Xenopus tropicalis: one gene and its partner. The protein of the gene in region 2 purifies or fractionates together with the protein of the main gene of each other region. This does not show direct contact. Links are inferred from orthologs where the notes say so. Each region holds a gene or a part of one and is shown on either strand. Other genes may lie near its edges.

The links.
Region 1: the proteins of pnn (region 2) and ncbp3 purify together in Homo sapiens (co-immunoprecipitation; 3 studies listed by BioGRID and IntAct, counting the BioPlex papers as one, with this or other methods). This does not show direct contact. The link is inferred for Xenopus tropicalis from reciprocal best matches to the Homo sapiens genes PNN and NCBP3.

The regions. Positions count from the first base shown.
Region 1 is NC_030678.2:48,484,111-48,488,711, reverse strand, and holds the start of ncbp3 (nuclear cap-binding protein subunit 3), read right to left. Parts: upstream 3,088-4,601; 5' UTR 2,978-3,087; coding exon 2,849-2,977; intron 1,735-2,848; coding exon 1,669-1,734; intron 1,538-1,668; coding exon of another isoform or gene 1,517-1,537; exon of another isoform or gene 1,409-1,516; intron 1-1,408. Other genes in the region: tapasin-related protein, read left to right, coding at 1,517-1,537. UniProt on the Homo sapiens protein: Associates with NCBP1/CBP80 to form an alternative cap-binding complex (CBC) which plays a key role in mRNA export. NCBP3 serves as adapter protein linking the capped RNAs (m7GpppG-capped RNA) to NCBP1/CBP80.
Region 2 is NC_030684.2:104,735,114-104,739,481, forward strand, and holds the start of pnn (pinin), read right to left. Parts: upstream 3,030-4,368; 5' UTR 2,948-3,029; coding exon 2,835-2,947; intron 635-2,834; coding exon 557-634; intron 1-556. Other genes in the region: trappc6b (trafficking protein particle complex subunit 6B), read left to right, coding at 3,226-3,324. UniProt on the Homo sapiens protein: Transcriptional activator binding to the E-box 1 core sequence of the E-cadherin promoter gene; the core-binding sequence is 5'CAGGTG-3'. Capable of reversing CTBP1-mediated transcription repression.

The DNA of each region.
Region 1 (4,601 bases), on a different chromosome or scaffold from region 2:
AAGGGACTGGGTCAGGGTACTTGGTTGCAGGATTGCACACTGTGGGATTTTCAAACCTGTCTGGTGGTCACTGGGAATAATTCCAGCCTGATATTGGTCAGATAGGCAAGCAAGCAGGTTATTGAGCACCGATAAGCTGCTCAGTTGGCAGCTTTTATGTATGTATGTAAAACTTTATTTACAAAGCACTACATGAATACACAGCACCACACAATTTTACAGAGTAGAAAAATACACACAGGGAGGACAAGAATAATAAATAAGTATAAATATATAGAGATTAAGAGCCATGTGCTAAAAGACACAGTAGGAAGGAGATCCCTGTCGCATAGAGCATACAATCTAAGCCAGGGGAGTTAAACTCACATAAGGGGGCCGGAATATAAAACACAGGCTAAGTCACGGGCTGAATTTTTTATTAAAATACTTAGTACAGGTATGGGATCTGTTATCCGGAAACCCATTATCCAGAAAGTTCCAAATTAGGAAATGGCCTTCTCCAATAGACTCCATTATAAGCAAATAATTCTAATTTTTGAAAATGATTTCCTTTTTCTCTGTAATAATAAAACAGTACCTTGTACTTGATCCCAACTGAGATAGAATCGATCCTTATTGGAGGCAAAACAATCCTATTGGGTATATTCAATATTTAAATTATTTTTCAGCAGACTTAAGATATGGAGATCCAAATTACAGAAAGATCCCTTATTCAGAAACCCCCCAGGTCCTGAGCATTCTGGATAATAGGTCCCATACCTGTAGTAGAAGGATAAATCCTTCCTCACCTTGAAACACCATATTACACGCCACCCTCCTGCATTAATCAAGTTTTGAAAATAACTACAAGCACAAAGCAAACTGTAGGCAAAACAGTTAAATTACAAACTGTGGGAACCGTGGGACAAGACACATCCACCAGGTGCAAACTTGTGGCGCAGGGTCGCAGTGCTGTGGAAGCAGCTGCTTTTGCCTGTTTTGTGTGGCCCATGGTAATTATGCCTGACCTTACAGCACCAATCGCCTGACTGTGCAGCTCCAGTCCCAGTGGCGCTGTGACTGTGCCTGACCGCGCAATCGCCTGACTACGCTGCTCCAGTCCCAGTGGCGCTGTGACTGTGCCTGACCGCGCAATCGCCTGACTACGCTGCTCCAGTCCCAGTGGCGCTGTGACTGTGCCTGACCGCGCAATCACCTGACTATGCTGCTTCAGTCCCAGTGGTGCTATGATTGTGCCTGACCTCGCTGCTCCAGTCCCAGTGCCACTCCGAGCAGCTGCTTTCGTTCTGCCATGCAAGGTGGGTGGGGCGTATTACATCATTCCGTGATTGGTGCTGCACAGTCAGGCACATTCCCCACAGGCCATATAAAACAGCCAGCGGCTGCATTTGGCCCATGAGCCTTGTGTTTGACACAGGATCTAAGCCGTGGATAACATACAGACACAAATTGAGTAGAAACGTGTAAAGAGGTTTTGGCACTGGCCCTTAAATTCCAGGACTGTACCAGACAAGATATGTTCCAGTGCTCCAAAAAGGTAGGATCTAACTTTCTTTTTGAAACTATTTATGAAGTGTTCCATATATGGTCATGTTTACATCAACCTCTTTCACAAATGGCCGAACTGCCCCTACAGAAGGCTTTCTTGAGACAAACATTTTTTCTTACCTTTGAAGTGACATCAATCCCAGTAATAAAGGTCCCAGCCCTGTTCTCATAACGCCGATTACTGCCCTATTAAAACAAAAATGTATTTGAGAAAATGGACGAACCAAAGAGACGCAAAATATTTGGAAAGAAACTGTATATTATTAAACCATATCCAGTACATACACACACACACACACACATACATAAATACTAGTACTATATAGTACTATACACTAATAAATACTTATAAATACTTAGTACTTATTTTACACCTTAAGGTGAAGACACACTGAGCTACTTAGAAGCAGCTACTTGTCTTCACTACTAAACATCAGAAAATACCCTGCCATAGACAATACTGAGAATTGCCTCTGCTAAAACACACATAGAGACAATTATCAGTAAATGATCAGCATTGTCTATTTCTGTAGCTGTGACAAGTATCTGCTACTAGTTGCTCCATGTGTCATCACCCTTATTCTACACCTCTTGCTACAGTTTGTGGATGTCTCTATGGCTGTACCATTTTCCAGTGTGACCCTGATGTTGTCATTTTAAACGTGTATATTAGTGTAACGGTCTCACTGTACCACACAAATAACTATTTTCTATTCTGGGGGTAAAACACAGAGGGAATCAAGAAAAAGCAGAATATCACTCCATATTCACAGAATGCCTGAGGGGCCAGAACTCCACAGATGGGTATTATAGGACAGCCATGGCAGACCATTTTTGCCTTTATTGGTGCTTAACATTATAGCGCAAGGTCTATCTAGTGCCAGGGTAGACATCTACATTAAGTGCATTTTAGTCATGGCTACAATCTGCAATGGCTTTGATACCAGAATTAAGGGGAATGTCCGGGCTAAACAACGGGGGGAGCTCCCTCAGCTCCTGGGTAAACAGAAATCTGTTGGGGGAAACTCTGTAGGGGAGAAGTCATAATGTCCTGTCTGTACTGTTAGATTAGCCACTATGCTCCCATTTATTCTCATTCGGCTTGGAACTTTAGCAGCTGAACTGCATTTCCCACAATACAGAGCCAGTCAAGGCGAGCAACAGAATGAATGGCCGGCCTGTTGTATGTGATATGACTTGCTTCTACTGTGTGGCGACCTGACGCAGGTAATTATCAGTCGCCATACTAATCAGGCATTGATACCGTACATTTCTATTGGAGCCCTAAAAAGCAACTTACCGACACCACCTCACGGGGGGAAGCCCGGTCTGCTGCGGCCTCCACCTCACCTTCCTCCACTTCCATGGGTTCGGGCTCAGCGCCGCCGCCCGCCTTCACAGACACCCGAAGCCCTCGCACCGCCGCCATTTCACGCCGAATACAGCTCCGAACACAGCCGGTTGCCACAAACCCCGGCAATGATAGAGTACGAGTGTTAACAGGCTAGAAGGGATTCGGCACATGACCCGCAGGTGAAGGGGCGGCGGCCATGTTGGTTGTGGCCACAAGCCAAGACGCAAATGCGTGATGACATAACTTTACTATCACAGGCATGTTTTGGCGTGTGACCTTACAGAAGCGACAAGGGGGCGGGATAGTTTTACTGCTATGTTTCGTTTTATTAAAACATAAGGCGCTATGGCGTTCTGAAACAGGCTGAAGGATGCGGGTTTACACATAATACGCGAATTTTTATTTTCTTTGTATAAGATAACATATAGTAGTGGCTATTACACCCAAGAGTTAAAAATGTTACGCGTTCCCCTAAATGCAATTTGATGCAGAAAGTTCTATCCCCAACCTAATATTATCAATCACATCAAGAATTTCCTTTAACTGACGCACAGCCTGCTGGCAGGCATCCATACCCAATGCTGCAAGAGGGGCTGCATTGCTTGCCTTTCACAGTATATGGGTATTGATTGTGTTCATACGTGACTATGTCAATAATAATGCAAATTAACTTTATTATAAAAATAATTACATAATAATTACTCTAACCAAATAATATGATTACCTCAAATATAGAACCAGAAGTGTATAATGACTGTAGTGGGGGTAATACTGTTTTCATTCAAACCACACCCAAAAACCATTGCACAAGGATAGTTTATTTGGTGTAGAAACTACTCATCCCTAAAATGTTTAATATGCTAAAATCCAGAAGCCATCAAAATGAAGGCACAAACGGGGAATCTGCCCAGGGCCCACTGATTTGGGTAACCCACCGTACCACTATGTCTTTATGTTTTCCCTTGCTCCACCTTAGCCCTACCCCCATGCCACTGCTGCCTTCTTCTCCCTGCACCCCACATTTTCTGTTCTTCTTTGATCCCTGCTTTTCAGAACAAAACCTGAAGTTTGTGTGTTCCACAGTGAAACACATGAGCAACTTGGATTTTTTTCACAGGCGTCTAAACAGGCATCTAAAACTTAGACTGATTCGGCAGCATATCGGCCAGTGTAGGGGCAGCAACGACGGGCCTGCCTGACCAACATCTGACCTGAAATTGGCCAGATATCGATCGGGCAGGTTAAAAGATTTAGTTGGATTGGGGACCGCATCAGTGAGCCCATGCGGTCCCCGATCTGGCCCCAGGTGGCCCGTAGGTGGGGATATCGGGAGAAGATCCGCTCTCTCACCAAGCGAGCAAAACTTAAAGTGGCCACCTTAAGACAGGCAGAGATAGAGCACCAAGTAGAGAGATAGCGCAAGGAAAAGAAAACATTTACTATTGGTATTCTGCTTGTGCAAGTGTAGGTAATACATTCACTATATCTACCGATCTTACTGGCATGAGTGGAGGTATTGGAGTGCTCACTGGCAATCTTTCAGTGATCTTACAGGCTTGTCTCAGATTAATGGAGTGCTCACTGGCCATTTGTGCAAGTGATTATACTGGCACAGCGAGAGTTGGACTGGGTTACCCAGGGCCCACCGGATACCTGACTCAAGCGCCCAGCGCTGCTCCCCTGCTGCTTACTTAATGTG
Region 2 (4,368 bases):
AGAATTTGTTCTGAGTACCCATCTTAAACCTCTTCTTTATCTACGCAGCAACCTTTAAGCAGCTTGGTATCAGGGGCTTCTCAGCAGACAAGTAATTAGTTTGATCAGCTCCTCTAAAATTTTTTTTTTGAAGACCAGCAATTTCTAAAATTAAACTGGACTCATTCTTGTTTAGTACCAGAAATAAAAAAAAAACATAGATATTTCTTAATTAAACAATAGGCAAAAAGTATGTTCAAGCTCAAGTCATATTCATTCAGTTAATGTTAAAAAGGGGTGTATACTGACAAGTGGGGGGTGGGGCGCTTAGGTATAACCAGTGATTCTAGTCTGTAACCTGTTACCACGTTCCGGTGCTCATCTTTTTCAAAGGGGGTGCGCCTAACAACTTGGCCCCCAGTAATGTTACCATGACCTGATAGGCTAAGCATCTAAGTACAACAGAAGTGCACAAATCTTTACTGTGAATATTCAAAATGGCAAACTGGAACAGGCACAACAAACAGTTCACTTAAGTAATAAACAACGATTTTAAATATGTCAATGAGTTTCATACCTTAGTAAAATCCCACCGCGGCCTCTACCTCCAACTACATTAGGACCTGTGAGGGACAGTCGTCTTGCTTGTGCAGGCCTGAAACAAATTAGGAACACTGATTCAGTTTTCACAGAAAATGTATGCACCAATCAATAAAAGGATTATTACTATAAACGTAGAGTTGAAAGGTATACGATCAGCAGCCAAAGAAAGTGAAACTAACTTACCAGAGATAGTAAGAAAAAAGCAGGATGCTAAAAACATGTAAGTATACCCAGTGTATAATACACAATTAACATTTCTAAATTATTATTTGCATCACTAAGAGCTGAATATCAGCATTTGCATTGCAGAAAGATTTCCTTTCCCTTCCAGAGGTGGATCCACATTAACAAACTGGCACAAATAATATTTTATATTATTGCTGTCTACACATGCTTCTTCCAAAGTAGCTGATGTTCAGCAATTGTCAAAAAAAAAAAAAAAAGTGATTCTAGCAAAGTCTGACACTTGCTCTTAATGCTCAACAAAAACAACACACTGAAAATCTGTTTGAGACACAAATATAAAAGACCCAAGATCTGAGGTGCTAGAGAATGCAAGGTAACCACTATGAAGACCCATCATATTTGTGTCATATGTATAACAGAAACCTAGTTAGGATCCTACACAAAACAGCCAGTTCACATATGTGCTTTTGTTTAAAGGAACAGTAACACCAAAAAATGAAAGTGTATAAAAGTAACTAAAATATAATGTGCTGCTGCCCTGCACTGGTAAACATTGTGTGTTTACTTCAGAAAGTCTGCTATAGTTTATATAAATAAGCTGCTATGTAGCCATGGGGGCAGCCATTCAAAGGAGAAAAGGCACAGGCACATAGCAGATAACAGATAAAACACTATTGTATTCTACAGAACTTATCTGTTATCTGCTATGTAACCTGTGCCTTTTCTCCTTTTTTCCAGCTTGAATGGCTGCCCCCGTGGCTACACAGCAGCTTATTAAATAAATTATAGTAGTGTTACTGTAGCAAACACACCAGATTTACCAGTGCAGGGCAACAGTGCATTATATATTTATTACTTTAAAGCTCTTTTATTTTTTGGTGTTACTGTTCCTTTAAAGGGCCAGTAACATCAAAAAGTAAAAATATTTTTATACATTCAACGTTTGATCTGAAAACTATTACTTGGCAACAAATTACCCTATTGTATGTGAGAAGGGTTTTAAGCACTATCTTTACCCTAACTTTTAGTATGTTATAGAATGTCCTATTCTTAGCAACTTTTAAACAGATTTTAATTACTTGCCTTACTCTTCTGCTTATTTCCAGTGGGGGGGGGGGGGGGGTGTCCACTGGCCCCAGAAGTAGCCTGGTTGCTAAGGTAAATAAGACCCCAGTAACCACATATCTGAACAAAAAGCTCTAATTGAAAAGCCACAACAAATGAAAACCTATTGCAAATTGTCTCAGAATATAAATGCCTACTATACCAAATGTTAATTTAAATGTAAACTGCCCCTTTAATTCTATAGTATTGTTTAATGCCATGAAAGGCATTTGACCCCTTATTTTTCTACTTGTGTAAGAACTGCACTCATTGTACTCTACAAAGTTTATTGATCTGCTGTAGGAGCCCTTTTGCCTTGTTCAACTTGAGCGGCTGCCACCATGGCTCCACTGCAGTCTGCTTTACAAACACTACTACTGTATAAACAAACAGTTGGGAGGAAGTGCAGATGCCTGATAGGCTGGGCTGCAATTTAAATGTAGTACCACAAGTCCCATAGCTATATATAGACACATTTGCTTTTATATCTGTATAGGGAAGCCTGGTCTCGGCACAATCAATTTAGAAAGGGAAATAGGGATTGGAGCCCTTTGTTGTAATATGTGTAAAATACTGTAGTAAAATAAAATAGTTCCGCAACAAAAACATAGTTTCCCCGCGTCCGCAGATGATTGCCTCAGCGTTAAAGCCCATTCACTGCCTAATAAGCACTATGTAAGCCACACAGGGCTACACAGGCAGAACCATTCATTAAACACAATGCTGCAGCACGGCCTGCGAGTTTGCACAAATGATAAAGAAGCCCATCAGCCTTGCGTATTCTCACGAATTAGCTGCAGCCTAAGGCCGATATCGCCTGCACGCAGGCCCTTCTGGAAGTTTGTATGAGGGCAGTGGCCTGTATAATGCTTCATACACCATGCCTGCCATGCGGCGCAACCCAACCAGGAACCAGAGCGGAACCTTAATACCACAACACATGCATTAATCCTGGAACCCACCTAGTCTCATTCGGGTCCCGGCCAGTCAATTTCCGTATGTTTTCGTCGACATTTTTTAGGCTCTCTTTTGCTTTTTCCAACTGCTCTTGCAGAGTTCGCACAGCCACCGCCATTTTCTCCGCCCTAATCGCGCGTCTCAATCACTTCCGGGTCGTTGAACAAACTAATCAAGAGCCAGCAGCCAGCGCACTGAAAGTCCTAAAGCGGAAGTGGAACGTAACATTGCGGACCCGTGGGGGGAAGGGGGCGGGGCGATAATGTTAACTAATTACAGGGAAGAGTCGTGCAATGGGCTTTGCTGTCAGAGATTTGCCCTGGAACCAATAGTAATTTGCTGTTTTTTTTTCCACCCCGAATCTTCGCCCAATCAGAGATAGAGATTGCTGTAGGCATGAACAAGCAGGATATGGCTGATGAAGCCCTCTTTTTGCTTCTGCACAATGAGGTTATATCCTGTGTGTATAAAGCCGGCGGTGACCAGGGGGATGCGGTAAGTCAGTGTCGAATTAGAAAGGGGTATGTATGGGGAGTGGCTGCACAGGGGCTGACAGCATTCACCATAATTGCAACGTACAGCAAAGCAGAACATACGAGTAGGTGCCCCTTACTGGACTTCTAGCTGGTTTGGACCACAACTCCCTGTGATTCAGTATAGGCTTTGGTATTTGAAGTACACAGAGCCCTTATCAGCCTCCATAGACCCATTAAATAGTGACTGCTAATGGCATCTTAAAGTAGCAAAATCCACCAAATGCCAGTATGGCTGTGCCTCAGAGCTACTATAAATGGTGCCAGACAGCACAGAAATCACCTGAACTAACTTTCTGATAAGAAATTGTCAGCGTTTTGCTCTGCCTTTTGTCCATTAGAAAACATACAATTGTAAAAGTCTATAGGGGTATATTTATCATGCTGTGTAAAAAGTGGAGTAAAGCATTAAAAGTGATGTTGCTCATAGCAGCCAATCAGATGCTTTGCTTTGGTTTTCTAACTGTTGAAATCTAATTTCTGATTGCCCTGGGCATCATCACCGGTGATGTTTCACTCCATTTTTTACACAGCATGATAAATATACCCCTATGTGTTCCTGTGGTGGAACCTGTCAGCTGACTCATGTGCAAATGCAAGCTTCAATGTTAAAGAAGTTTTTTTTTATTGGAAACTTACTGTGTAATAGATTACTCTCAGGTAAAAAATGTGTGTTTGCTTCAGGAAATCTAGGGTGCTAACACACAGTCCCCCCTGGAAAAAAAAAAGCAGCACCTATATTTTCCTAGCGGCGATTTACACCCTTGCTGGTAGAAAAGCAAGGTAGAGGAGATTAGTTGCCACTGCTAGAGGAGGCTAATTGGGGGGCACTAATCTCCTTGTGTCATCTGCCCTACAGTTTATATAAGTAAGGGAGGTGGCAAACGGCACGATTAGTCGCCGCCATAAATCTTTACTGCCAGAGGTGACTTATCTCCCTGAAATGCCATTCTACTGACAGGAATGTAAATCACTGGTGGGATGGCATACGGTCACTTTGGTTTTA